Daphnia pulex: one gene and its partners. The protein of the gene in region 2 binds, or shares a complex with, the protein of the main gene of each other region. Links are inferred from orthologs where the notes say so. Each region holds a gene or a part of one and is shown on either strand. Other genes may lie near its edges. The genes, in order: DNA primase large subunit-like, DNA polymerase alpha subunit B-like and DNA polymerase alpha catalytic subunit-like.

The links.
Region 1: DNA polymerase alpha subunit B-like (region 2) and DNA primase large subunit-like share a complex: the UniProt entries of both Homo sapiens proteins name them as parts of the alpha DNA polymerase complex. The link is inferred for Daphnia pulex from reciprocal best matches to the Homo sapiens genes POLA2 and PRIM2.
Region 3: the proteins of DNA polymerase alpha subunit B-like (region 2) and DNA polymerase alpha catalytic subunit-like are in contact, whole or in part, in a cryo-EM structure (PDB 8G99), measured with the Xenopus laevis proteins. The link is inferred for Daphnia pulex from reciprocal best matches to the Homo sapiens genes POLA2 and POLA1. Residues at the interface, in XP_018112289.1 of Xenopus laevis: Met280, Tyr281, Lys282, Phe283, Met284, Phe285, Gln286, Lys287, Leu288, Met289, Ile291, Arg292, Val295, Ser296, Ile299, Glu314, Thr316, Leu320, Pro321, Gln323, Glu324, Thr325, Val326, Gln331, Gly333, Cys334, Asp335, Ser336, Asn337, Gly338; in NP_001082055.1 of Xenopus laevis: Gln548, Lys551, His553, Gln554, Asn555, Phe642, Glu645, Val646, Gln649, Asn652, Leu673, Gly675, Arg676, Phe679, Lys1137, Asp1141, Pro1143, Asp1144, Ile1321, Gln1322, His1324, Asn1325, Lys1326, Leu1328, Leu1329, Arg1332, Ile1335, Lys1336, Tyr1338, Tyr1339.

Annotation. Positions count from the first base shown.
Region 1 is NC_060018.1:6,168,343-6,176,573, forward strand, and holds DNA primase large subunit-like, read right to left. Parts: upstream 4,724-8,231; 5' UTR 4,565-4,723; coding exon 4,411-4,564; intron 4,346-4,410; coding exon 4,008-4,345; intron 3,937-4,007; coding exon 3,706-3,936; intron 3,636-3,705; coding exon 3,486-3,635; intron 3,413-3,485; coding exon 3,230-3,412; intron 3,161-3,229; coding exon 2,965-3,160; intron 2,900-2,964; coding exon 2,601-2,899; 3' UTR 2,189-2,600; downstream 1-2,188. Other genes in the region: b(0,+)-type amino acid transporter 1-like, read left to right, coding at 259-362, 922-1,018, 1,100-1,249, 1,310-1,478, 1,561-1,628; fucose-1-phosphate guanylyltransferase-like, read left to right, coding at 5,429-5,489, 5,580-5,825, 5,909-6,103, 6,177-6,260, 6,334-6,468, 6,533-6,832, 6,895-7,514; DENN domain-containing protein 5B-like, read right to left, coding at 7,758-7,944, 8,013-8,196. UniProt on the Homo sapiens protein: Regulatory subunit of the DNA primase complex and component of the DNA polymerase alpha complex (also known as the alpha DNA polymerase-primase complex) which play an essential role in the initiation of DNA synthesis.
Region 2 is NC_060020.1:1,703,547-1,711,858, reverse strand, and holds DNA polymerase alpha subunit B-like, read left to right. Parts: upstream 1-3,368; 5' UTR 3,369-3,429; coding exon 3,430-3,508; intron 3,509-3,772; coding exon 3,773-3,992; intron 3,993-4,060; coding exon 4,061-4,109; intron 4,110-4,627; exon of another isoform or gene 4,628-4,896; intron 4,897-5,816; coding exon 5,817-5,932; intron 5,933-6,083; coding exon 6,084-6,369; intron 6,370-6,422; coding exon 6,423-6,690; intron 6,691-6,751; coding exon 6,752-6,983; intron 6,984-7,049; coding exon 7,050-7,250; intron 7,251-7,307; coding exon 7,308-7,494; intron 7,495-7,559; coding exon 7,560-7,691; 3' UTR 7,692-7,810; downstream 7,811-8,312. Other genes in the region: diphthine--ammonia ligase-like, read left to right, coding at 1-201, 267-490; PHD finger protein 10-like, read right to left, coding at 574-755, 814-885, 942-1,126, 1,185-2,764. UniProt on the Homo sapiens protein: Accessory subunit of the DNA polymerase alpha complex (also known as the alpha DNA polymerase-primase complex) which plays an essential role in the initiation of DNA synthesis.
Region 3 is NC_060022.1:1,986,073-1,994,087, forward strand, and holds the start of DNA polymerase alpha catalytic subunit-like, read left to right. Parts: upstream 1-3,031; 5' UTR 3,032-3,225; coding exon 3,226-3,265; intron 3,266-3,330; coding exon 3,331-3,519; intron 3,520-3,583; coding exon 3,584-3,765; intron 3,766-3,842; coding exon 3,843-3,967; intron 3,968-4,043; coding exon 4,044-4,122; intron 4,123-4,180; coding exon 4,181-4,297; intron 4,298-4,384; coding exon 4,385-4,518; intron 4,519-4,588; coding exon 4,589-4,712; intron 4,713-4,769; coding exon 4,770-4,934; intron 4,935-5,042; coding exon 5,043-5,408; intron 5,409-5,478; coding exon 5,479-5,683; intron 5,684-5,746; coding exon 5,747-6,018; intron 6,019-6,078; coding exon 6,079-6,192; intron 6,193-6,251; coding exon 6,252-6,432; intron 6,433-6,491; coding exon 6,492-7,097; intron 7,098-7,156; coding exon 7,157-7,296; intron 7,297-7,362; coding exon 7,363-7,577; intron 7,578-7,653; coding exon 7,654-7,918; intron 7,919-7,994; coding exon 7,995-8,015. Other genes in the region: putative zinc finger protein 66, read right to left, coding at 1-7, 415-586, 788-939, 1,017-1,221, 1,289-1,365, 1,433-1,528, 1,590-1,672, 1,740-2,013 and 1 more. UniProt on the Homo sapiens protein: Catalytic subunit of the DNA polymerase alpha complex (also known as the alpha DNA polymerase-primase complex) which plays an essential role in the initiation of DNA synthesis.

The DNA of each region.
Region 1 (8,231 bases), on a different chromosome or scaffold from region 2:
ACTTTGTACATTTTTTCGTTTTAAGTTTGGCATGGATTATTGAGAAAAAAAATCATGCAAACCCTCATTCTTCAAACGTCTTTCGGTTTTAACTGCTGCATGAATATAACAAAGATGACTTTGTTAACTTCCACAGCACTAGTAGAGATTCATAGATTTTAATTTGTAGTTTACTTTAAACTAGTCAACACAGCATGGCTTCTTATATCGTTAAAACTGCATGGGTTTTCTGTGTGATTTTTTTGTTTACCCATTCAGGATTGGGGCAATCGACTCTTGGGTCCCATGGCGTTCTTGATGCCTTTAGGTGTTGTCTTGTCCACATTCGGCGCTGGCAACGGAAGTCTCTTCACAGCCGGAAGGTTGATTCATATCTCAGTCCATCTCATCATCGATCAATAGTGCTTGCTTGTTATTATAATTAATTAGCTTTTGTTCGCTCGCTAATTATTAAATAATCAACTAAGCTGCTTTGCATGTTTCTGCGGTAGAGAGTAGTTAGTTTTCAAACTTGAAATTGATTCCTGTTTTTTAAATCCTCCGACCCGTGTCCGTCGTCACTTGTCTGTCGTGGGCGATCTGTCTCTGAACGCCATCTCGGGGTTGACTATTTTTCTATCCTCAATTTTTCATTTTCTTTCTTGCTAAAACGAATGTCTGGTCGGGGTGGTGTTGGTGATGGATACAGACTTTCGGCACTCGAGCGCTGGGTACCTTAGCTTGGTTGATGCCACTAGCCGTGTGCATCAGTTGCTTCGGCAGTGCTAATGGGACACTCTTCGTCGGTGGAAGGTAGGAGAATTTGATTTTCCTCAAACGCTCCATTTGGTTAAATTAACCTTGCTTAACGCCGAGTAGAACGACGCTGCTGATCACTAATGAACGTTCGCTAGAAAATAATGAATAATTACGTTCGTTTAGGTTGTGCTACGTGGCGAGTCGAGAAGGGCATCTAGTCGACGTCCTTTCTTATGTTCACATCCGTCGGTTGACTCCATCTCCTGCGCTCCTTTTCAATGTAAAAAAAAATCATTACTACTAAAAGTTCAGCGTAACATGGAATTTATTACAAATTTCTTCCTTACTTACGCCTACACAGAGCGCCGTTGCGCTCATGATGATCATCCCAGGAGATATCGCCAGCCTAATTGACTTTTTCAGCTTCACGGCATGGATTTTTTACGGAGCCGCCATGCTCGCATTGATCGTCATGAGGTTCACCAAAAAGGACGCACCCAGGCCTTACAAGGTACAGTTGAAATCTGGAAAGCCAATTAAAAGACAAGAATAACAATAATTTGAAATGCAGGTACCGATTATCATTCCTGTCATCGTGCTAATCATTTCCGTTTACCTGGTCATTGGGCCAATCGTGGACAATCCGAAAATCGAGTATTTGTACGCTACCTTGTTCATTCTGGCTGGATTCCTTCTCTACGTACCTTTCGTTTATTATAAGAAAGTGTTGCCCGGAATGAGTAAGTGCTTTGACAATTGAAAATCTCTAAAAGGGAAAAAGGAAACACAATTAATTCACTGATCATTTGTAATTCTGTAAAGGTTATGTTACAACATTCTTGCAGTTATTGCTGGAAGTGGCTCCGTCAACGTCTATGGCGGAAGACTAACGTGTTACCGCAACGATCAAGTAAGCGATGACAAACCGAAAAATGTCCGTGTATAGGTCAACCACTTTAGGTGGCGGTATTATTACGTGTACATTATTGTTACTCCCGGCCATGTGTTAAAACCTTGTGTTGGTACGATGATTGCCATGCAATCTACATATTAAAAAATGGTCGTCTTTCCCTTCTCCTCAGTCATCCCTTTTTTCATAATTGGTATCATGCTGAAACGATGAGCTTGAGGAGATTTTACAATTTGATCGAAATTTACCAAAAGACACAAAGTTTGTATTGTTAATTTAGAATGTTTTTTTTTTTGCATATACACAAAAACCATAGTACTATTACTTTTCTAGATCGTTCAATTTCTCCCCAATGTGGCGAGATTATTTCAAAACAGGGATTCGTTAATTAGACTTTCTTAAAAGTTTTTATCCCGCAGCTTCCGTGTACTAAAAACATCAAAGTCACTGAATTGTAAACTTCAGCGTTTAGTGACTGTGAAATTTTGTACAGCATGCATACCGAAAAGTAAAATACACAAGTGCCAATCACGAAGTATGTCTCTCTCTATTATTCTATTGTTCCAAAAGTTATTTTTGACGATTAGGAAAAAGCACACCAACCTCAAAAAGTACTTTGAGCGGACGCAAGTTTCCCTTTCAAATAATGCACCAAAACTTTCTTTTCGGATGAAACTTTGAGTTTACAAAATTCAATTACGCAAAGTTTCAGGGATACATTTTAGATAAGAAATGATATACATCTGATGCCGTGGGAAAGATATTCAAGTTAAGTTCAAACGCGCCTTAACATACGATCTCTACGATTTTGTTACAAACTTCTAAAAGGCAAGCTTATTCAGTTGGGGAATCTTATTGATCAACCGAATGCAGTGCGCAATACTTCTAGCTAGATACAATTTATCGATAAAACCCTTTGTACGGCTTTCAAGTAAAAGTTGATTTAAACTATTTAGTTGAAATCATCATCCATATCAATTGCTGCTAAAACGGATTCGCTGAGAACCTCATTTTCATTTGTTTCAAGTTTCTCTACTTTAGCTGGAAGAGTAGCACGAATGGTCTGTACCTTATTCGCTCCCTTGATTTTCTCCTTCACTTCACCGTTGAGGATCTTTTGGCTTTCGATAAAATACTGGTTTGGGTGCTGGATACCACTATCAATCTCGGTGTTGTGCGTGGCTTCAAAGTACCGCTGGCAGGCAATCTGGTAATGATGGCGTGTCACTAGATCGACTATTTCTTGAATCGCTAGAAGGGCACCAAAACAAATTAAATTACGTGATCAAAGACATGCATATGAAATTAATTACTACCTGGCTGAGGAACACGATTCATTGTCATTTTCTGTCGAAGGACGGCAGCATCAAAGTGTCTGAACGGACAACCGTGATTCTCACCCGGACCTACGCTGGCAGTAATGATTTTGATGCAGCTTTGAGGTGCGTAATTGATTCTTTTTCCTTCCTTGCCGTAATTGTGGCGAATATTGTATGCGTATTGCTTTTCAAACTAAAGGAAATAGGGAAATGTAAGGAGAAGTTTTGATGAAACTTTGATCCTCGGTGGAGGTTTACCAACCTTATCCATATCCATATTTTTGGAGAACTCCTCCCTCCAAAACTTCAATGAATTTTCCAAGCTAAGTCCGATTCCTTTGACAAAAAGTCCATACTGCATACGTCCGCCGTGTTTTAAATGATGAGTAGAACGCAATGTCTCGTGTAAATGTCTCATACAGAGTGGGAAAGATTGTTTTGACAACTGCAAATCATACATTTTAATGATTTACTATTTTTGTTTTTATAAAGCAAGCACGGAAATTTGTTGGTCTTACCCCATCAATCATTTCTGGTGTTACAGCGGCACCAGAAGATTTATTTTGTAGAGAGTTAAAATCTTGACCGGTATATCGTTTATCAAAGTCATTCAGTAAGCGACGGATTCGATGATCGTCCTCTAGCTCTGGTAGTGAACGCATAGTAAGCTTCAATCCAATAAAAAAAATATCTTTAAATAAGTTATTCAGTGAATATTAAAAAATTATTTTCTTTTACCGCCATAGCAAGTGATAAATGAGAGCGGAACATAGCTGTGATTATGGAAACGAGGTCCTCGCTTGGAATGTATGCAAATCCGGCTTGCAAGTATACTTTGCGATGGCGAACTAAATCTAAAGCCTCTGTAAAGGGAACCTTGTAATATTCCACTGCATCAACTTTATTGGCATTAAATTGGGCAGCATGTATAAGTTTAGTCAATATCTTCTTTTTTTCTTCCTCTGGAATCTGTAAAATGTTTGGTGAAATATAATTAAATAAGTAATAATTTGGTGAATATTTGCAATATCTCTACATACGGGTAGAAAATTCATTTTGTTTTCTTTCATAAATGCCCTGATATCTTCTGAACTTTCCATCGAAAATCTAAAGCGGAAGAGATCAGTTTCCTGAGCAATGAACCAACGCCTGTACTCTTCAGTCCTGCAATATGCAAGTCTCATCAAGAAGTGAGAAACATGATCTTTCTGTCGTGTTTTTGAAATGATTTCATCCATCTTATCATCTTTGATACTTGAGCTCAGTTGATACCAACTGTTCAAGTTCTGCTTTTGTAAATCATTTTTCAGGGCAGTCTTCCAATCATCAGAGAATCTGGCATTTTTACTCAGATTGACACGCTCTATTGTCCTAAGAACTGTTGATAAAAATTTGAAGTAATTACGGAGGTAATTAATAAGAAGTTATGACCAATTATTATACCTTTGAGACGTTCGACAGCCCAATCTTCAAGTTCTTGCAAACCGATGGTTTCACTGGGAGGTACGGAATATAGTTGCAGAGAATGAGGATATTCACTTCTTAGCTTCATAGAATTTTTTATAGTTCGCCGAACTGTGTTGCGTTGAAATTCCATTTTTAAAAGTAACTATTTCCCTCGGAATTTATTCAACAAAATTTTTTTTCTACCAAGTTTACTGCGCGGTTAACACTTAACATAAAGCAGAGTAGCAGACGGTAAATGAAACAACAAAAGATCTCTTTTCGCGCTCAAACTAAAGCAACGGTGATGCCAGATATAAAATTGGCGAAAAAAAAAGGATTCCAAATTGATTGCAAGTTGCATGCAAATGCAACCGCTCTAAAATAAATTCGAAGACTTGCGAACTTGCTAGATACAAATCATGCATATTAAATAGCTTTAAAGTTATTCAAAGTTTTTATTAATTAGAATTTTGCAAGGATTGCAGGAAATCTAATCTTTGCCTCACCCAATTCATTGTCTCACGCAGCTGCGGGCTTGCGACGACTGTAATTAAATTTTGGACCATAAATAATTAAGTGCGAATGCCTCTATGAAAATGAAAGAGTTCGCTAATTGCAGTATGTCCATGGTATGTCTATAAGAGTTCGTTGTTTTGCAATTCAAACTAACCACACGGGACACGAGACAGACGACACATTACCTGTGATATGAAAATGATTACTACTTTTCGCTTTTTTCGTCAAAAATTAAAACATATTTAATTCCAGAAATCTGTATCAGTAAATAACTTCGTTTCCCAAAGGTTTAGGCTCAGAATCATATCCGAAGTCCGATAAATTACCCGTGTTATCTTTCTCTAACACCCTCCAGGGGTCTCTGAATTCCCATGTTTTGAATACGTCAATAAACATCTGTGTTTTTACCTGAAATATGAAATTTGGACTGTTTAAAGTGTTTACGTGGCAAAGTTACTAAGCCTACGTCGTCCTGGAAAATGCTACAACAGTCACAAAAATGGAACGAATCCAGAAGTACATGGTTCAGTTAGCGGAAAACTTTAACAAAACATCTTTAGGTTAGTTTTTAACAAGTAAAAACTTCATCCATCACACAAATTATCACAAGTCAGTGAGATTGTTTGACATTTTACCTTTTATCTGTTTAGACGATGGTTTTTGGGATTGTGTAGTCATATCTGCCGGAGATGAAGAACAAAAAGAATGTTTCAAACAGCAAATTGATGAGAAACTGGAAAATGGAGAAATACCAAGGGCTACTAAATATTTAGTCATTGCTGATTGTCCTGGATATGCTTTGGGGTCAGGTGGATCTACCTTTCATATTCTGAAACATTTAAAAAAACTTTTTGCCAATGATCTATTTGAGATGAAAATTTGGATTAGTCATGCTGGTAGGAATTGATGTTATAGGCCTACTTACATGTTTCAGTTAATACTATTTTTTTTATTTCTTTAAAAAATATTTTTATTTTAGGGGGATCTAGTAAAAGATTACCAAATTTAAGCTGTACTGGAAAGTTATTTTGTCCATTGCCACTAGAAGTTGAAGGAAAAGCAATAACACTTCTAAATTTAAAATTTATTATTACTTCACCTTTTCTTAAACTGATGAAAAATGGAGGAATATTTATTTGTGCTTCTGATGATATAGAAACTTTTTGTTTAGAAGGTAATTGTTTAATAATTCTTCTTTCTTTTTTTCATTTGTCCTTTTTGGTATTACATAATAATTTATCTCTCAGGTCTTGAAAGTCTTGAAGAAAAGTTTAACCAACTAGATGAAGATGGAATTGTAGCCATTGGTCATCCATCCACTATTGCAATAGGTAGGAGCTCCTAGATCATAATTTAGAAATTATTCAAAAAAATTAAAATTAGTATTTCCATTCTGAAAATTAGGAAATACGCATGGTGTGTACGTGCTTCCAGAGTGGTGTAGAAATGAGGAGAATTGTAGGCTAAGCCCTTGCCTTGAAGTTTTACAGAAACCGAATTATGTCACTATGGAAACAAAAAAGGCTTTATTTAAATTTGGTGAGAATTTAAGTCAGATTCAAGTTGCGCTTTATCGCGCTTTACAAAAAAATCTTTTCTGAAGGCCATAATGAAGAGGAAAGAGTATATACCGACAGCATGTTTTGGTGCCGACCAGGACTCGTGAGGAAAATGGTGGCGTTTGCTGAGGAATGTGAGGATCTCTACCGCAACGAAACGTGTATATACGGCGATTTTCTAGCCTGCATGGGATCTCGTCCTGCCGAACAAAAACTGTATTGGAAAAATGTTTCTAATTCCTCGACAATCAAACGCAAAATTGCTAGTCATTTCGGAGATACATCGCTGAACATTCTGATCTTGGAGCGATCGCATTTCTACCATTTAGGAACTATGCCAGAATGTAAGTATTATTTACCCGTTTGTGTGTGTGCTCGAAATACATCAACTCTGTACTATTTCTAGATCTGGAAAATCTGAATCCTGCATCCGAACTATTCCAGACGTTGGGGATGAAGCTACACGTTCAATCATTCCTCAGAAATCCATCTAGAATTCAAGGAATTGTAACTCTGTCCTGCATAGAAGCAGATGCCGAGATGATGAAAGATAGTATTATGGATAGTTGCATTGTAAATGTACCGATTATCTGCGAGCAGCAGACTATTGTCAGTCATTGTCTGATTGATGATCCGGTGATTAACGTAATTCCGTCTGGTTGGATGTTTCACACTGCAGCAGTGAAGCAAGAAAATTCGGTGCTCTACGTCACTATTGCCTTTCGAGTGGATGATGACTTGAAAGGAACCATAGAGCAGAGTCATGGATGGAAAGGCACTAGTTTAGCGTCCACAACTTCTACGCAGTGGCAGGCCAAATTGTTTGAAGCTCACGAGACAATGAGTCAATCATTTACCGCAACCTGGAGAAGCGTAACAAACTTACTAGAACATGCCGAGTCCAATGAAATGAGAAAACTGCAGCGTTTTAGCATGGAAGACATAGTTCAAAAGAAAGACATACCAGCAATGATGCAGCACAGAGTAAATGTTTCACGGAAGATAAATTTCCATATGTTAACCTAAAAGTTCGCTGAATACAACAAAGTGAAAGTCTACCAGAATGTTACGTTTTCGACGACTATTCGGTGTATTCACCAGACCAGACACGTACATATATGTTACCCATTAATCATATTGGAACATTTCGCTTGAAATTGTAAAATAAACAGACAAATTTACCCAGTCTATCTACACATTTAAATCAAAACAGAATACGTATAAAATGTATCGCGAATTTTCTATCGAGGAATAGTTATTCATTAAAATCTAATCGATGCCCCGCGTTATGGACGCTTCCAGAACAATTTTTACCTTTTCTTCGCTTAGAGTTTGTAACAGAGGTTGTAGGTAGTCGCGTAAGCGCTTGTCCCTCAAGTAGGAATTCTCATCATAGTGTGTCAACGTGGACGAACATGACGCCAAAGGACCAATAATCCGATGGAGCATCCTATCTCTTTTAAAGCATTCGAGAGTAAGAATCTGGGATTGATTAAAAGGTTCAAAGGCAACAGATCTACATACCTTGCTGCAAGACAAAGGAATAGTTGTTGCTTGTCTCGTTTTCCAAGTGAATGCCCGTAATGCTGAATCTTTCCGATGATATCGCACAACCAGCGGCGAGCGGGTCGATCAGACGACGGGTCTGCATAGTCTCTCACACTTGTTACAGAACGTGGATCTTGGGTGTAACAATCTCGGACTTGCACTGTAAAAAAATCAAGGTAATGTAGCAAAGTTGGA
Region 2 (8,312 bases):
ATGGTGGTGATTCGGATCAACCAATTGCTTTTGTCGTCGTTAGCAATTTGCCAAGAAATGCATTGGTAGAATGGCAAATTTGGGCTCACCGGACTGAAGGATCAAGCGAAAAATTCTCGGCAATAGTGTCACCATCAAAACAAGTTGGCCATATGTACGTGACCAAATGTGAAGACGCAACAGCTTTAATTTGTCAGTTATGTACGTATATACGTTAATCCATTTTTCTGTTGCAATATTTATTTAATAATGCTTTTACCTTTTAGTGGATATTCCTAATGATGTGAATGAATGGACTACTCTTTACCAAAGGCTTGCGCAACACTTGGGTCAAAATCATGCTCTAAGAATCTTTTACAAGATTGATCAAAATGGTTATAATTGGGAAATGTTAAGAGATGTAATTCCGAAATCTATTGCATTAACTTTGATCCCAGTTTGTGGATTTGAACCGGGACAAGCTGTTATTGTTTGTGGCATACACTTTTGAATTTTTGAAAAAATGACAGTATATTTTATTTCAAAAATCAATTTTTATAAGACGACACGTGCAATATTTTCGTTTGATATTTCTCACTTTTTCCTTAATTTGGCCTGGGCTTTGTCAGTACAGGAACGAAATGGACAATTCCACCGCCCTTCTGGTATGCTGCGCAATCCGACACAATATGTGTGATATCCTCGATCACAAAAATCGCAGAACAACATTTTCTCTTCGTCAGCTGGATCATGGCATTGATCGCAAGTCTTGCAATCTGAAAAAGATTTAAAAAATATCACCCAATCTTGATGTGAAACTCTTCTTCAACATACCGTTACATTCCCACGAATAGGCGGCTACTTGAGGCATCATACTTATGTCCAAATTCCAGCAAGTTAAATGACCTAAAACAAATCAGTGCTGTAATTGTTTACAGGTATTACAAAATTCAATAACACACCATCAGCTTGGCATTTGGCGCAACGGACGAGAGGCTCGGGATGTCCTGTTTTGTTCCGCCGTCTATCACCTCGACAAATTTTACACATGCCGGGCTGCCCAAGGTACTGAGGGCGATCTTCATCGTCTGAATCGTCGTCATCATCTTCGCTGGAACTTGAGGTATCATCGTCACTGGAATCAGAGCTGAAATTGATAATAACATGTTAAGAGGATTCCCTTGATAGAGTGGAATTCATAATACCTGGAATCATCTGACGAGGAACTAGAATCATCTGATTCCGTCTGACTTGCAGCAGCGGAATCGGCTCTGGTGGAAGACCCGTTCGTCGGCCGCCTTTTCCGCCTCTGAGAAATGTCTGGCTGACCAACCAGTGGTCCTCTCATAACTGTACCAATTGGTAAACAATTGAGCTGGTAAGGGCTATAAGTCTTAAAGAAAGAGGAAAATTGCCCAGGAATCACTGCTACTGGATAAGGATCCGAAGGAGCATTGACTGGCTTGAGCGCAGCCGCCCTCCTTGGAATTTGAACTGTAAAGGTCTGTAAGTCGAGACAATGCAATCGTTCTTCAACACGCTCCTTGTTGAACATAACATTCCACTTAGCCGCAGCTTTTATAGCCCGCTGACGTGGATCGAATGACTTTTTCTCGGCTGGTGCAGCCGGAGTGGCCACTGGAGTAGTTCCTTTCGTCTTTGACTTGTAAGCTTGTTCCTTCTTTTCGCTTTGAGCAGCTAAATATTCTTCGTATTTTTCAGGGAAAAAGTTGAAAAAGAGATCAAGCACCTCACAACTCAACAATGCAGTAAGTCCGAGATTAGCTTGCGTTTCACTAACTACGTTTCGTTCCCGAAGCCAATCCCGTTCCACCATTTCCACTGCTCGACGCTTCATATCTGGATATTTTCTTTTGAAATTTCCTTTAATTGACAAATAGTTAACTACTTGCTCTTGGACCATCCACAGTTCGGCATTCGTATCCTCACACGGCCAAGCGTATTCCACTAGTTGTGCAGCGGTAATTGGTGTTTGCGAACTGGCATCAAAGATTTCACGAGTGCCCAGTTTCTTTTTTGCGCTTGAGGTACTCAATGCTTTCCACGGAGATTCATTTGCACTCTGAACGGGAGAACTGAACGTTGCTGATCCACTAAAAGAGTTTTCTACACTCATTCTAGTATCTTCTTCTAAAACTTGGAACTTTGGGAGTCTTGGTCGGGCAGCCCCACGTGGAGTTTTGGGAGTTCGTCCACGTCCACGTCCTCTACCGGTAGAGGTAGACGGACGACCGCGTCCCCTTGTCGGAGTGTTGAATACAGGCTCAATATTCTCTCCAACTGATTGTGCACTGGTGTCAAGCAACTCGGGAACCGGTAGTTTTTTTCGACCACGACCTCTGCCTCTCCCTCTGCTTTGCTGAGCTGGTGGGGGTACTTTAACAAAATCTGGATCAGCTTCAAATGGAATATCTTTGGCACGACGTGGGAGCTTTTCTCTGGTGGCATTTAAATCATAAACTTTTCGTTTGTATTTCCGTCTACCACCCACAGCACCATCAAGATTTTCTTCTTCATCTGCTCCTGGAGTGTTCGAGGCTGTGGACCTGTCTAATATATTTGAATATGCAACACTTGAATCATTTGCACATTCATGTGAACTTTGGCTGGCTAGAGAGAGGTCTTGTGACACCTCATTGTCATCTAGTTGACTGTCTTCTAAGGTTTGATCTTCTTCATTTATTTCTTCAAAACTTTGTTCATGTTCCGCTGCTGTTGCATCTTCAACCTCATCTTGAGGAAGCATTTCATCATCAACTTCCATTGTAAATAGTCAAATTTAAAGTGAGTCTTGGGATCTGAAACATACCAATGAGACAAGTTAACACACATTCACATTCCTAAAACATTTGAAATTGTAATTGCAACAACATTGATTTTTATAGAGAAACAAAGGAATTACTTCGTAAATTATCAGTCAGTAAGGTTGTAAATTTAAAAAAGTCCGAAGACGATATCTTGTGCTATATAGATGGGATTTTGAATTCCTGAGTACACTTTTAAAGTTTTTAAGAAATAAAGAGTCTGTTGATACATATAAACATTGGATGACACACTACAAGCCACCGGTTTTAGCCTTTGGCTATACTCGTTTCCGTTGAGCATTTACGTATCGATTCTATCACAATCGATTTATAAGAACATTCCGAATAATCTTTTCAATTTATTTTTTTTCTAAAAGTAGGAGAAAATAAAGAGTTTCAATTGACGAATGATAATGAATTTGTAAAATTTTGTAAGATATTAAAACAATTCCAAGAAACTATTGAGGTAATAAAATGAATAACTGGTTTTTCAAGAAACAAAAGATTGCCGCATTTTTAGCAGCATGCGGCAGTGACGCCACCAACGATAGGATGGGGGACTATTCGGAACGAGGGAACTATTTATTCTTATGCGTCTGCGCTCTGAAGAACCATTGGACAGATCATGGAGTTGGATCACAGCAACTTGTTGAATGAGTTTGAAGATTTTGGTTTAACACCCAATCTCAAAGTCTTGATTAAATGTAAGTGTGTTTTTTTAATCTTTCTTGATGGTTCATTATGATTTTAGATTTGTCTGTCGTGGAGGTTATTTCGTTTGAGTGAATTATGCCATAGTACAGTGTGACAATTTTGAGCATTTTATGTATGATTACGAATGCAAAAGGGCAGAGCGTGGTCAGTAAAGAGACGCCTTATTTAACGTCGTAGAGAATTTTCGTAGTTTTACTATTTTTGTGGATGCAAAATTTCATTTTTATATAGTGTTGATTGAAACTTTTTTACAGGTTCAGAGCTGTTGAAAAAGTACGATATCACTGCTGATACCCTAGTCAATCACTGGATTGGTTTTGCTGCCACAAAATTAAATAATGAAGCTCCTTCGCTGGAAAATTTGGGGGCATTTGAAAATGACCTCTCCAAAGAACTATCCGCCAAAACCAAAATTAAAAGTGAACCTCTGAGCGAGTCTCCAGTCATTCACAACATCACCACCATCAATCAGTTGTAATGTCGAGCTTGATTTTTCCCAAAGCAGTCTTAATATTAAATGTTTTATCTTTTATTCCTTTCAGAGCTGAAGATGATGAGCTTCTAGTAGGCTATGGAACACCTGCCAGGAAGGTAAAAAAAGTTCCTTTTCTTTGTATACTGTAAGGGTCTTGGGAGATGGATTGTGTACAGAGTACAAGGTTGAAAAAAAGCGCCTTTCAAAAATCTACCTGGCTCACAAAGCATCGTGGCGCCTTTTTCAAGGTCAAATATTCCCCTCCACCGTTCGTGTGTCGCCGTGGGCTACACTCGGAACCTCCGCACACACATCTACCTGCTGACACAACTGCGGCCATTTCTTTTTGTTGAGTTCTCTCAATTTCCAAATCGGTTGTCGAGGAAAACTAATCAGAAAGGGATGGAAGAAGTTAACCGATATAAGAAGGTACCGTCCCCATCCTGATGAGGTTTCATGCAAATAGCAGTTGGAAAAAGTTTAAAAAGAGAGAAACACGAAAAAGAATCTGAAATGGGTGGAGATGATTTGTCCCTCGACTGTTGCTGCTGCTGCTGCTCAAGAGTAGGGGAGGTAGAGAACTCTCTTTCTATTGGTAGATAGGAATTTTATAGGTAAGAAGAGGCTTCTTTACCTTTGTGCGTGCGTGTTGAGTATAGCCTTTGGTGTGTAACGAACCCCTCCACCTCATTCACCCACCTCCCCCACGAGCGCACACACGTTCTTCGCTCTCTTGTGTCGACGTGTTTTTGTTCCCAGAAAGAAAGTTAGTGCGCAGTCTTAGCCTTTGAATCACTGCCATCTTCGCTCCCAACAATCCCAACGAAAAACGTCGATTCGTTCTGTGTGTTTGTTAATCCGTTTTAGCCAGGTGAAAACATCAGAAAGTCTAGACGATCAACAGTTTCTTTCGTTTTAACGAATTTTCCATTGTTGGCGAGTGTTGCTTAGCTTGGCCCCTCCCTTTTTCTTGCGCTTTCCCAGGGACTTTGCCTCGAGCTACAACGGTCGTTTTCCCATTCCACTCCACCTCTCTCTTTGACTCGATCTCTCTCCCTCACCTGTACCTGCAGGGAGGGAAGCATTTTCTTTTCTTTTGGAGACGCGCGTCTCTCAGTCGCCATTACCTGGTGTCGCTCGATTAATCTCCTTCTTTTCCATTTTTCCCATCAAGTGTAGAGTTATTTGCTTTATTCAACAATCCAGTCGCGTTCGGTGGATATGGTTCTCGTGACATGGCTTTTCATCGGCTTTGTATTCCGAGTGTACATGACTAGATCCATACTCACCAGACGAGGCTGGACCAATCACCCAAAGCTCTTGACTTAACATTTTTTTGATTTGTTGATTCTTTTTAATGCTCTTTTGTCGTCATTGTTTGCCCCGTCGTCCAGGGGGGATGATGATGGAATTTTTTTCCGCGCGGGAAATCGTCCCCCCCCCCACAATTGTGAACAATTGGAAGTTTTACTCGGCAACGTAAAAATAAAAACCGGAACCGGAAATGTGAGCGAATGTCCCCTGTATGTAACGATGATTGTCATTTCTTTTTCCATGTAATTCTGCAGCAATGACGGTTTATTTGATCGATCGGAAATTCCATGGCGAAGGTTGGGCGCTCTCTAGGTGGGTCTGTTTCTAGTGCATGTGTTTTCTCAGCGCGTCATTCATGACTAGATCCATACTCATCTAAAGGGACCCAGCCATTCTACAATTTAAATTTAATCGAATTTATGCATGTGACAATAAAATTATGTCGAAATAAAATAAAAAATCTCGTGTTCATTTGGATAATTCGTTGTTGTATTCTAAAATTTTGACAGTCGTCGGTGGGAGCCAAAAGGACAAGCGGATTGGAAGGAACCCCGCAGAACAAGCGTCTAGCAGGGTTGGGTCAGGCGTACCCTGTGCACAGTCCCTCTGTATTCTCTCCTTCCACGTAATTAAGGTTTTATTGTCTTCTCATGAGCCCAGTATAAAAGAAACAGTTCTTCACTGGTCGGAAAGAATAGGATCATTGACCGAACGCTACATATTAGTAGACGAAATAGTGTAGACTTGTCTTTGCAATGTTCTGTGTATTTCAACAGGCCTGGCACATCCAGCAAGTTTTCGACACGTAACAACTCTGGTGAGGTTGTTGCCAAGTATCCAGCTGACGCGGTCCTCGACTGGACAAGAACCAACGAAAGATGGCAACCGAAAATTCAACTTCATGGCACGGTCGAAACGAAATTAACCACCAAATATAATTACATGTTCAGTCGAATGAGAGATAAGTTCGACATTTTAGAAGAACAGATCAATGTTATTGGAGATTTAATTAAAGGAAAACTTGGAATCGAAGAATTCGAATCCAACAATGTTCTCAAATCGGTAGTTATAATTTTAACTAGCTTTGGGTGATTTAATGAATAATTAATTTTCAGGATGCTTTCCAAACGATCGGCCGAATCTGTTGTGATGCGACCAGCGGCTCTCGATTGAATACAGCTTCATTATTGCTTGAAGGAACCCGAATGATATCTTCCGGGCAGAGTGTTCCGCTTGATGTCTCGCAGCTCAAGGAGTTTTCTTTTTTTCCGGGTCAAGTAGTAGCTGTTGAGGGTAGTAATCCGACTGGAAAAAAGATGGTAGTTACTTCTATAACCACTCCACCAATAAATCCTGTCTTCAAAACCGACGTTTCATTGGAAGGTGGCCATTAATCATATCTCCCGTGTTTTTACATGTCAATATTAGATATTTTCGTGTTTAGGTCCCCTAAATGTGATGGTAGCGTGTGGGCCCTTCACGCTATCCGACGATTTGGAATTTGCGCCACTTGTTGAATTCATCCAGCAGATTAACACAATCCTTCCGCACTTGGTTATCATTATGGGACCATTTTTAGATGTCAAGAACAAAAAAGTGGAGAGTGGAGAACTTGATCATACCTACCAAGAACAATTTGAAATAGTCATGAAAGAACTTCAGACAAAGATCTCAAAGTATTTTAATTATATTTAAAATCATGAGTTAATTAGACTTAATTTTTTTTTTTTTTTTTTTTCAAGTCATGTACAGGTTTGTGTCATTCCGTCGTGGAGAGATGTTCACTACAGGGCAGTCTATCCGACTCCCCCATTTCAGCAAGAGAATAAATTACCGAATTTCCACTTTTTCTCAGACCCATGTGTCTTGAATGTAGAAGGTGTTTTTATCGCCTTGACTTCAACTGATATTCTCTTTCATCTTAGCAAAGAAGAAATTTCGGTGTAAGATAAAATCAGACCAGGAATTTTACATTGAAATTTACCCGCTTTTGTTAACAGTGCACCACCTGGTTCCGATAGGATGGGCCGACTGGTCTCCCACCTATTCAGCCAACAGTCTTTTTATCCTTTGAATCCACCAGCCGAAGAAATGAGTGTCGATATGGAACATGCTGATGATTACTGCAAGCTAACATTCACACCACATTTATTGGTGGTTCCCTCTGATCTACGCTTTTTTATCAAGGTAATTTAAACTTCAGTAATATGAAATTTCTGTGGTCCTTCTTTTACATTGTACATTTTATATAGAATGTCAACGGTTGCGTAGTAATCAACTCGGAAAGAGCAGTCAAAGGTATTTCTGGTGGAACTTATTCTCGACTCCAGATCACTGGTGAAGGCTCGTCTGTTCAAGTTAAGGCCGAAGTTGTTCGAATCTAAGTCTACGTAATTCAGCACATATCCTAACTCGTTCATATTTTAAGTTCATTCTCCGGTATTCACCAACATATCAAATGAAAAGCACAAGCCAAGTAAACAATAAATACGAAAAACAGTAATTAACAGTTTTGTTTCATTTCTCATTGTTTTGAATATGGGTACTCTTTAACAGTGTCTTGTATAAATGTTGTTTGTTTAAAAAGAGGAGAGAGGAATTTGTTTCAAATGTATTTAACTTAATAAATTGACCAAGCAATTTACTAGGTACATTTAAAAAAAAGTGATTTGCCAATTTTCGGAAATTAAAGATCGAATATCAAAATTGGCAACACCGTTTTCTAGTTCTCACGGAAGTTCGTCTGTAGCCGAAAAGTCGGCACTCGGCACATAGCCACATAGACAAAGGTCGGACTCGGGAGTTTAGCAAGGCTGTCTGGTTTTCCGTCACGTTTTATTTTGTTATTCGAGTGCTCAACTGTTGTATCTGTGTTACGCTTGACTGTCCTGCCACCCTACACGTAGTTGAAACAAAGCAGTCAAATTAGGAAGCAATTGAAACAGCCCAGGATTCCCAGATCACGTCAGTGCAAGAAGTGAGGCATAGGCTGTTTTGCCTGCATT
Region 3 (8,015 bases), on a different chromosome or scaffold from region 2:
TTTTATACTAGTTTTGATGCCCATTCAGAACTTTCAACCGAATAATGATGCAGCACTGTCCTATAATAAGAAATTTTATACAAGATATGAAGTTAGTATTAATTTTGTTTAGTTCAAAAATTCAATTAAATAGAATGACATTTTTGTTAAAGACTTTACCAGTGACCAAACAGCAGGAACGAAAATAAGTGTTTCACTGTTTTGACTGTTTTCTAAAAACAATCAAGAGAGCGTCGTCTGCAACAAAGCATGCAGTCCTGCCAAACCTCGAAAGTCGGCACTCGCAAGTCGCAACTCGCAAGTCGCAAGCCTGTAAAGTCGTAACTCGTAACTCCGGTAACTCGTAAGTCGCCAGCCGCAAAAGCGGTAATAAAGACCAAGTGGACTTTATTAGTGGAAACTGGAAAGTACTACCTGAGTACAGGTAGTGGTAGGAGGGCAGTAGCTAATAGCTATGGTGCTCAGACGTAAATACCAGTCTTGCTGAAAATTACGCCTGCCCATGTGCCTGTCTAGGCGGACTACTGATTCAACATCCAAAGTCCGAACACTCTGATCCGAAGGCGCAATAACCAATCCAAAGTGACTTTAAGCACATAAAATTATCCAAAGGTACAGCTAAAATTAAGTTCAGACTTCAGACATATCAAATAATGTTTTGAGGAGGTTCATTGAGACTAAATAGTAAAGACAAAAATATGGTCCTTTGTGTATTTACAAATTTCAAAATGGGTTCTATAAATCAATGCGAAGACTGGCAATTAAAGGAGAGATGTATTACGAACATCACGAATTTAATGATTCTTCCAAGGAAGGAATTTCTTGAACATCGTCTTGATCAATAGAAAATTGTACTAACATAGGCCCCACACCGGATGGCTCCACAATATAAGTGTTTACAGGGAGGACTTCTAAAGATTCTGCTTCTATGATGGTTACCTAAGTATTTTCACCGAAAATTTTAACATTAGTAAATTCTTTCCCAAATGTAGATTACATTAGATACAATTACATACCTCGTGATCTGTATCAAGAAAATGCGCATCATCTATATTTTCTATGTAAGCAACATTCTGCAAAGTTTCCAGGCCCTGGTCCTCAGTATCTCTTTCCAAATCTGTAGTAAGCTTATTGTTGCAACGCTTGGCTTCATGCAGTTTTAACATTCCACTAGTTTTGAAACTTTTGCCACAAGCCGAACAGTCTAGTGACTTCGAGGAGCTGTTTAAATAATGATGTTTACCTCTCACCAGTATACTGTAGGTAATGCAAATGTTTTAACACATACCGATAATGTGTAGCTAAATGGCACGCTAAACGATGCGGTTCACGAAACAGCTTTCCACATAGATCACAACAACAGGGCTATTGAATAATCAAACAAATTTAGTTAAATTTTTAACACAAAAAGTTATTGATGTAACCAAACAACCTTCTCCCCAGTATGCACTTGTAAATGTATCTTTAGCACGTTTTTGTGAGCGAACGTCTTTTCACAGTAGGGGCAATTGTGAGGTCGTTCTCCGGTCTGAATTAATAATTAAGTATTATTTATCGTCGCAATAATTTATTAATACTTTATTATTTACGTGACGCATTCGGTGTTGTTTCATGTGACAAGAATTCCGAAATTTCTTCCCGCAAAACTCGCACTCAAAAGGCGCTTTCCCGCCTAAAAAATTTGGTTATTACTTTATGAGCAAATATGAATTATTTTAGTAATGCAAGATGGAAATTACCGTGCATATCAAGGTGATGTCTCATAACAGCCCTTGTCTGAAAAGATGCTTGACACACGTTACAGATGTAAGGTCGAGTTCCGAAGTGCTTAAAAACATGTTCGACATATGGGAAGTAGGAGGTCATTTCCTCTTCACATTGATCACACTTAAATGGGTTCTGACCAGAGGGAGTTAGAAGTTTTGCCAATTCTCTCATATTTTGCAAAAAGGTGGAAGTATCTGGTCCACAACCAATTTGGTCTGGAACAATACACTTGTCCATTAGTTTTACCTATATTTTTAAAAATTAAATTTTTAAATTTTTTGTAAGTTGAAATCTTTATATTGAATAAAATTTGTGGAGGTAAAGGAATTCAATTCACTCCAACCTGAAGAAGTTCCAGTGAGGCTTCAAGGGTAGATCTTTCTTCCTCAACAACAACTGCTTCTTCAAATGCCTTGGTATTAACAGACGAAGTAGAGTATTTCTTGTTTTCAATGACAAATTCAATTGCTTTGGTTGGCTGTGTTATTGACTTGTTTGAAGTGGCAAAATTGTTATTGGATGGCTCCACATTTCTGTGCTTTTTAGCTGAGAATGTGCTTCTTAATTCAAATACCTTCCCATCTACTTCATACTGCAGTTGTAAATTCTTTTGCCTGTTTATTGTGATGTCATTCTTGATTACTTCACATGTTGGTGAAGGTTTTCCTACATGTTGATGTTGTTCCTCTTTATCACAATTGGAAAAAGTGAGAGTCCATTGATTTTTGCTTGGAATGAAAGAAAATACTCCCTGTATTGCATGCGAGTGTTCAGTTTCTCTCGATGATTGTAGTTTATCTATATCAGAATCCAGTTTGAAGTCGCAAAATCCACAGTGTTCCCAAGTGGTTTCAATACTTGGTTTTAGCTGCAAAACCATTTGTTTACCTTCTTGTGCTGTTTTCAAAACACCGAGAATCTCTAATCCCTCACAACTTCCCATCTTGATTGATGGAAGATTTTGTCCCCTATTACAAATTACGACACTGTTTATTTTGGCTTAGCTTTGGATTTTTCTTCCAAAGTTGGTAGCCAACAGCTGTTTCATTCATTACTCAATAGATGACTTTGTACTATGTAAAAATAATTAATTTTTGATTTTTGATTTACAGATTACATCATACTTTTGATTTATAACTTTAACAAAAATGTAATTCAAACACAGTTACTAATTATCTTTATAAGTTTATAACATTTGTAAACTTCGAATTGTGAGCCAGCAATTTTTATTCGGCAACGCCGCGCCATTAGAGAATTACGCGGGAAAGAGCTGAAAGACTAATTCGGCCATTTATGTGTAGACAACTGTGCCTTTTGTCCAGTGTTCCTGCATTATAGCTTTTATCGGTTGATTTTCGTCTTTCCTGATCGTTTCAAAATTTTCAAGACCTGCATTAGAAATTTTACTCGTCATTTATTGAGTGTTTTTTTATTTTGTGTTATTTTTAAACCATTGTCATGGCTGATGACAAGGAAATTAGTCAAGAAAAGGAAAGTGGTGAGTTACCTTTACATCTGATTCATTTTCGTGTTATTTGTATTTACCACCTGATTGATTTTCAGGTCGTACACGGAGAACTAAACAAGACCGTGAAGGGAAATTTGCAGCCTTTCAAAAGCTAAAAGACTTAAAGGGTACTAAAAACAAAGTTACCTTGACGGAAGTTGATAATGTTTATGAAGAGGTTGATGAAAGAGAGTACTCCAAACGAGTTCAAAGACGACAAGAAGATGATTGGATTATTGATGATGGTAATAGAGTAAAGCCAAAATTAAATTATAAAATGCCTTGTTCACAAAATATTTTAAAAATCAGATGGAAGTGGATATGTTGAAGATGGTAGGGAAGTGTTTGATGATGATCTGGATGATGATAATATGGCCCAAGCCAAAGGAGCAGCCAGGGGTCATAAGAAGAAGGACTTGTCAAAAGGAGTTCCTGGAAAAAAAAATAACATTAAAAATATGCTAATTGGCATGTCCTCTAAAAACAAAGAGGTCTGTTTTAGCACTTATATGAATGTTTTATGGAATTTCAAAGGTTTATTACTTTTATTACTGATTTCACTTTTTAGAAAGATGCCAAAACTAAAGATGATGACATTTTAGGAGACATCATGCAAGAACTGAATTCCACCCCTTCAAATGCTCCCTTGAGGCAATCAGTTTCCACTCTTAAAAAGAAGACCATTACTTCTGGGTACCAAAAACTATTAGAACTAAATTAGATCATGTTTTGATTCTGTGTTTTGATTAAATTTTTTTGAAATGATTAGATCGTTGATAAGTCGTACACCAACTTCGATCCCACGGATAACCAGCACTTCAGTGGCATCGAGGCTATTGAAAGCAGAGGTATCAGAAAAATTTTTTCTTTAATTTTCCCCTGTAAACTCCGTCCTATTCCCTGCAGCCCAAACGTCTGCCTTTTGGCAGAGGGGCATCCAATGTAGAAGACAATACCTACGACTGTGCATCAATCGAAGATTCAAATTCATTATGCGATGATAATCCTTTTATAATGGATGGAGTACGTATATTATTTTATTTCTTTTCTAATCTATTTAATACTAATAATAAACCGTTCCATACTACCTTCACTTTTATGTGCTGCCAGCCTATGGACATCGACCAGTTCGATTCGCAACCAGAAATCAATACGCAATCAAGTGAAGCCTCAATTACGACATCTTATACTCCCTGTGAAGAAAGTATTGATCTTCAAGAACTGAAGCAAACTCCTACCATCAGGTTTGTCGCATTTCCGCCAATCTAATATTTATTTTAGATACATTCTTTCTACTTGCTGATGTATTTTTAGCGAATTCGATCTTACTTCGGGATGGGAAACCATTAAAAATAACGTTGACGTTAACCAGAGTGTAGCTGTTTTGGATTTAGGGAGTAATGAGCTTCCCTTGACTCAAGGGGAAGATGGAGAACAGGTTCTATAAATACTTGACTGTTATTTTGCAGTTTCAACTAACAATTATGTTAAATAGTTTTTGCGCATGTACTGGTTCGATGCTTACGAAGATCCGTATATGCAACCTGGCACCGTGTTTCTTTTTGGGAAAATTTTCATAGAGTCGGCTAAAGCGTATGTCAGTTGCTGCGTTTCCGTAAAAAATATCGAGAAGCATATATATGTACTTCCACGTGATACGGTATACACATCTTTATCTAACCTGAAAACTTTTGGCAAAAACTCAACTTGCCAATATCATTTGTATAAATTCATGTACGGAACATTTGTCGCTTTCCTTTTTCATCAGGTTGTCGATCAGCGTACTGGCCAGGACACGGGAACTCCGGTTAATTTTATGGATGTATACGAGGAATTTAATACGCGGGTAGCAGATCGCTACAAAATTTTGCAGTTCAAATCACGGCGTGTATTGAAAAAATATGGATTCGAACCACCGAGCATTCCTCGCGAGAGCGAATATCTTGAAGTGAAATACTCTGCTGAACATTCCTTGCCTACGAATTTGAAAGGTGCAACATTCAGCCACGTCTTTGGAGCCAATACTTCGGCATTGGAAAACTTTTTGTTGGAAAAACGCGTTAAAGGGCCTTGTTGGCTAAACATCAAGAACCCCCAGAAGGCCAACCCGCATGTGAGCTGGTGCAAAGTGGAGGTATAGAAAATATTTTTTTAACGAAATCAAAATCGAAAATTAATTAATATGATTTTTATTTTGTATTCAGGCGTTTGTTTCTAACATGGATCAAATTGAGTTAGATGATAAAAGAGAAGCGCCGCCTCCATTGGCTGTAATGGCGCTTAATTTGCGCACTGTCGTCAACAATCGCACTCAGCAAGTGGAAATTGTCGCCATCAGTTGTTTGATACAAAACGAATTTCATGTAGACCGTGCTGCTCCTCAACCTCCGTTTCAACAGCATTTTTGTCGTAAGCTACAATTATGGAAACGATTGAATGAAGATACATGTTTAAAAAAATCAATTTTCGTAGTTGTAGGCCGTCCATCTGAAGAACCTTGGCCACTAGATCATCGCGATACCATGAAAACGACAAAACTAACGAAAATAGAACTAGCCGAGAACGAACGAGCCCTGCTTAATCTTTTTCTGGCCAAAATTAACAAAATCGACCCCGATGTAATTGTCGGGCACGATGTAGCTTCCTACGACTTGGACATACTTCTCCATCGTTTCACCCAGAACAAAGTAGATCAGTGGTCTCGTCTGGGCCGACTACGTCGCACCAATATGCCTATGTCTAAGGTTTGCTTAGACATTAGATTAACACTCAAGTAAGAATAATAATAATAAAAAAATTTAAAGGGTGTCAGTCGCAGTCATCTTGTCATGAGTGGGCGTTTGGTGTGTGATGTGAAGATTTCGGCAAAAGAACTTATACGCGCAAGGAGCTACGACCTCGAAACGCTGTGTCAACAGGTTTGATAATTGAACCACACCTTATACATCTCAATTAATGCATTGTCTTGTTCAATAAGGTTTTACATTTAAACGGAGTTCGCCCAGATTTGAGTTCAGATTCTGTTAAAAAGATGTACTCGACTTCAACCAGTCTGTTGGGAATGATAGCCATTACTATGCAAGATGGCGCGAACACACTAAGATTGATGTATGAATTAAACGTCCTTCCCTTAGCTTTGCAAATTACTTCGATTGCAGGTAATTCGAAGGAATCGATTTTAATGAAAAGAATTATGCAAATTTTTCTAATATTTTAGGAAACTTGCTTTCTCGAACTCTTCTGGGAGGTCGTTCAGAACGCAACGAGTATCTATTGCTCCATGCATTTCACGAGAAGGGGTTTATCGTTCCAGATAAGCAGGCTTTTAAAAAATCAAAGAAAGGAGAAGATTCTGATCCTGAGGATGTTTCGACTGAAAATGCTAATCGTAGCAAGAAAGGTCGTCGGAAACCAGCCTATGCTGGTGGTTTGGTTCTGGATCCCAAGCGAGGTTTCTACGACAAGTTTGTTCTTTTAATGGACTTCAACTCGCTGTACCCGAGCATTATTCAAGAATTCAATATATGCTTTACCACTGTCGATCGACAAGTAGCAACTAAAGCAACTGAAGGACAAGAAGAAATTCTTCCCGACCTACCTGATCCGACGTTGCCCCTTGGCATTTTGCCTACTGAAATTCGAAAGTTGGTTGACAGTCGACGTGAAGTGAAAAAGCTCATCAACGATAAGTTATCTAAGGATCTTTTACTTCAGTATGATATCAGACAGAAAGCATTGAAATTGACGGCAAACAGCATGTACGGCTGCCTGGGATTTTCCAATTCACGTTTTTACGCCAAACCTTTGGCCGCGCTTATTACATGTAAGTTACATTTCAGCTTTAACGTTATGCATTTTAATTTCCATTGCATTTTTCTGTAGCCAAAGGACGTGAGATTCTACTGCAGACTAGGGATCTTGTCCGTAAAATGAATTTGGACGTCATCTACGGAGACACTGATTCGTTAATGATAGATTCTAATTCAGTTGACTATGATCAAGTCATGAAAGTGGGTCTTAAGGTAACCATTATCAGCAGAATTTATTCCTAAATGTTATTTTATTCAATTGTTTGTTGTTTTGTTCAGATTAAACAGGAAGTCAATAAGTTGTACAAACACCTTGAGCTCGACATTGATGGGGTATTCCAGCGCTTACTTTTGCTGAAGAAAAAGAAATACGCAGCCGTTACAGTTTCTCAGGTGATCCGTGATAACAAAAAAGAAATGGTTACTCAACAAGAGGTCAAGGGTCTGGATATTGTACGAAGAGACTGGTCGCAGCTTGCTACTCGGGCTGGAAAGTAAATATCTTCAGTATTGATTCTTTGGGCTAGCGACAGCATCTATATTTATTTATTACAATTTGGTTTGGTCCAGGTACGCACTGGAACAAATATTAGGTGATTTATCGGCAGATGAACGAATCGCTCGGATTCAACAAAATTTAGAAGATATTCGTGATGGATTTCAGAACGGAACCATTGATCTCTCTTTGTTAGAGATTACCAAACAGCTAACTAAGAATCCAGAAAATTACCCCGACGCAAAAAATCTTTCTCATGTCCAAGTTGCAATCAGGACAAATTCCCGGGGTGGTAAGAAACTTGTACAAGGCGATACAGTTTCGTTCATCATTTGTCAGGTATTTAATGACTCGATTGAATTGCCAATGCAATAAAAACAAAGTTTATAAACATATGAACAAACTTGTGAAATAGGACGGAAGCAATATGGCCGCC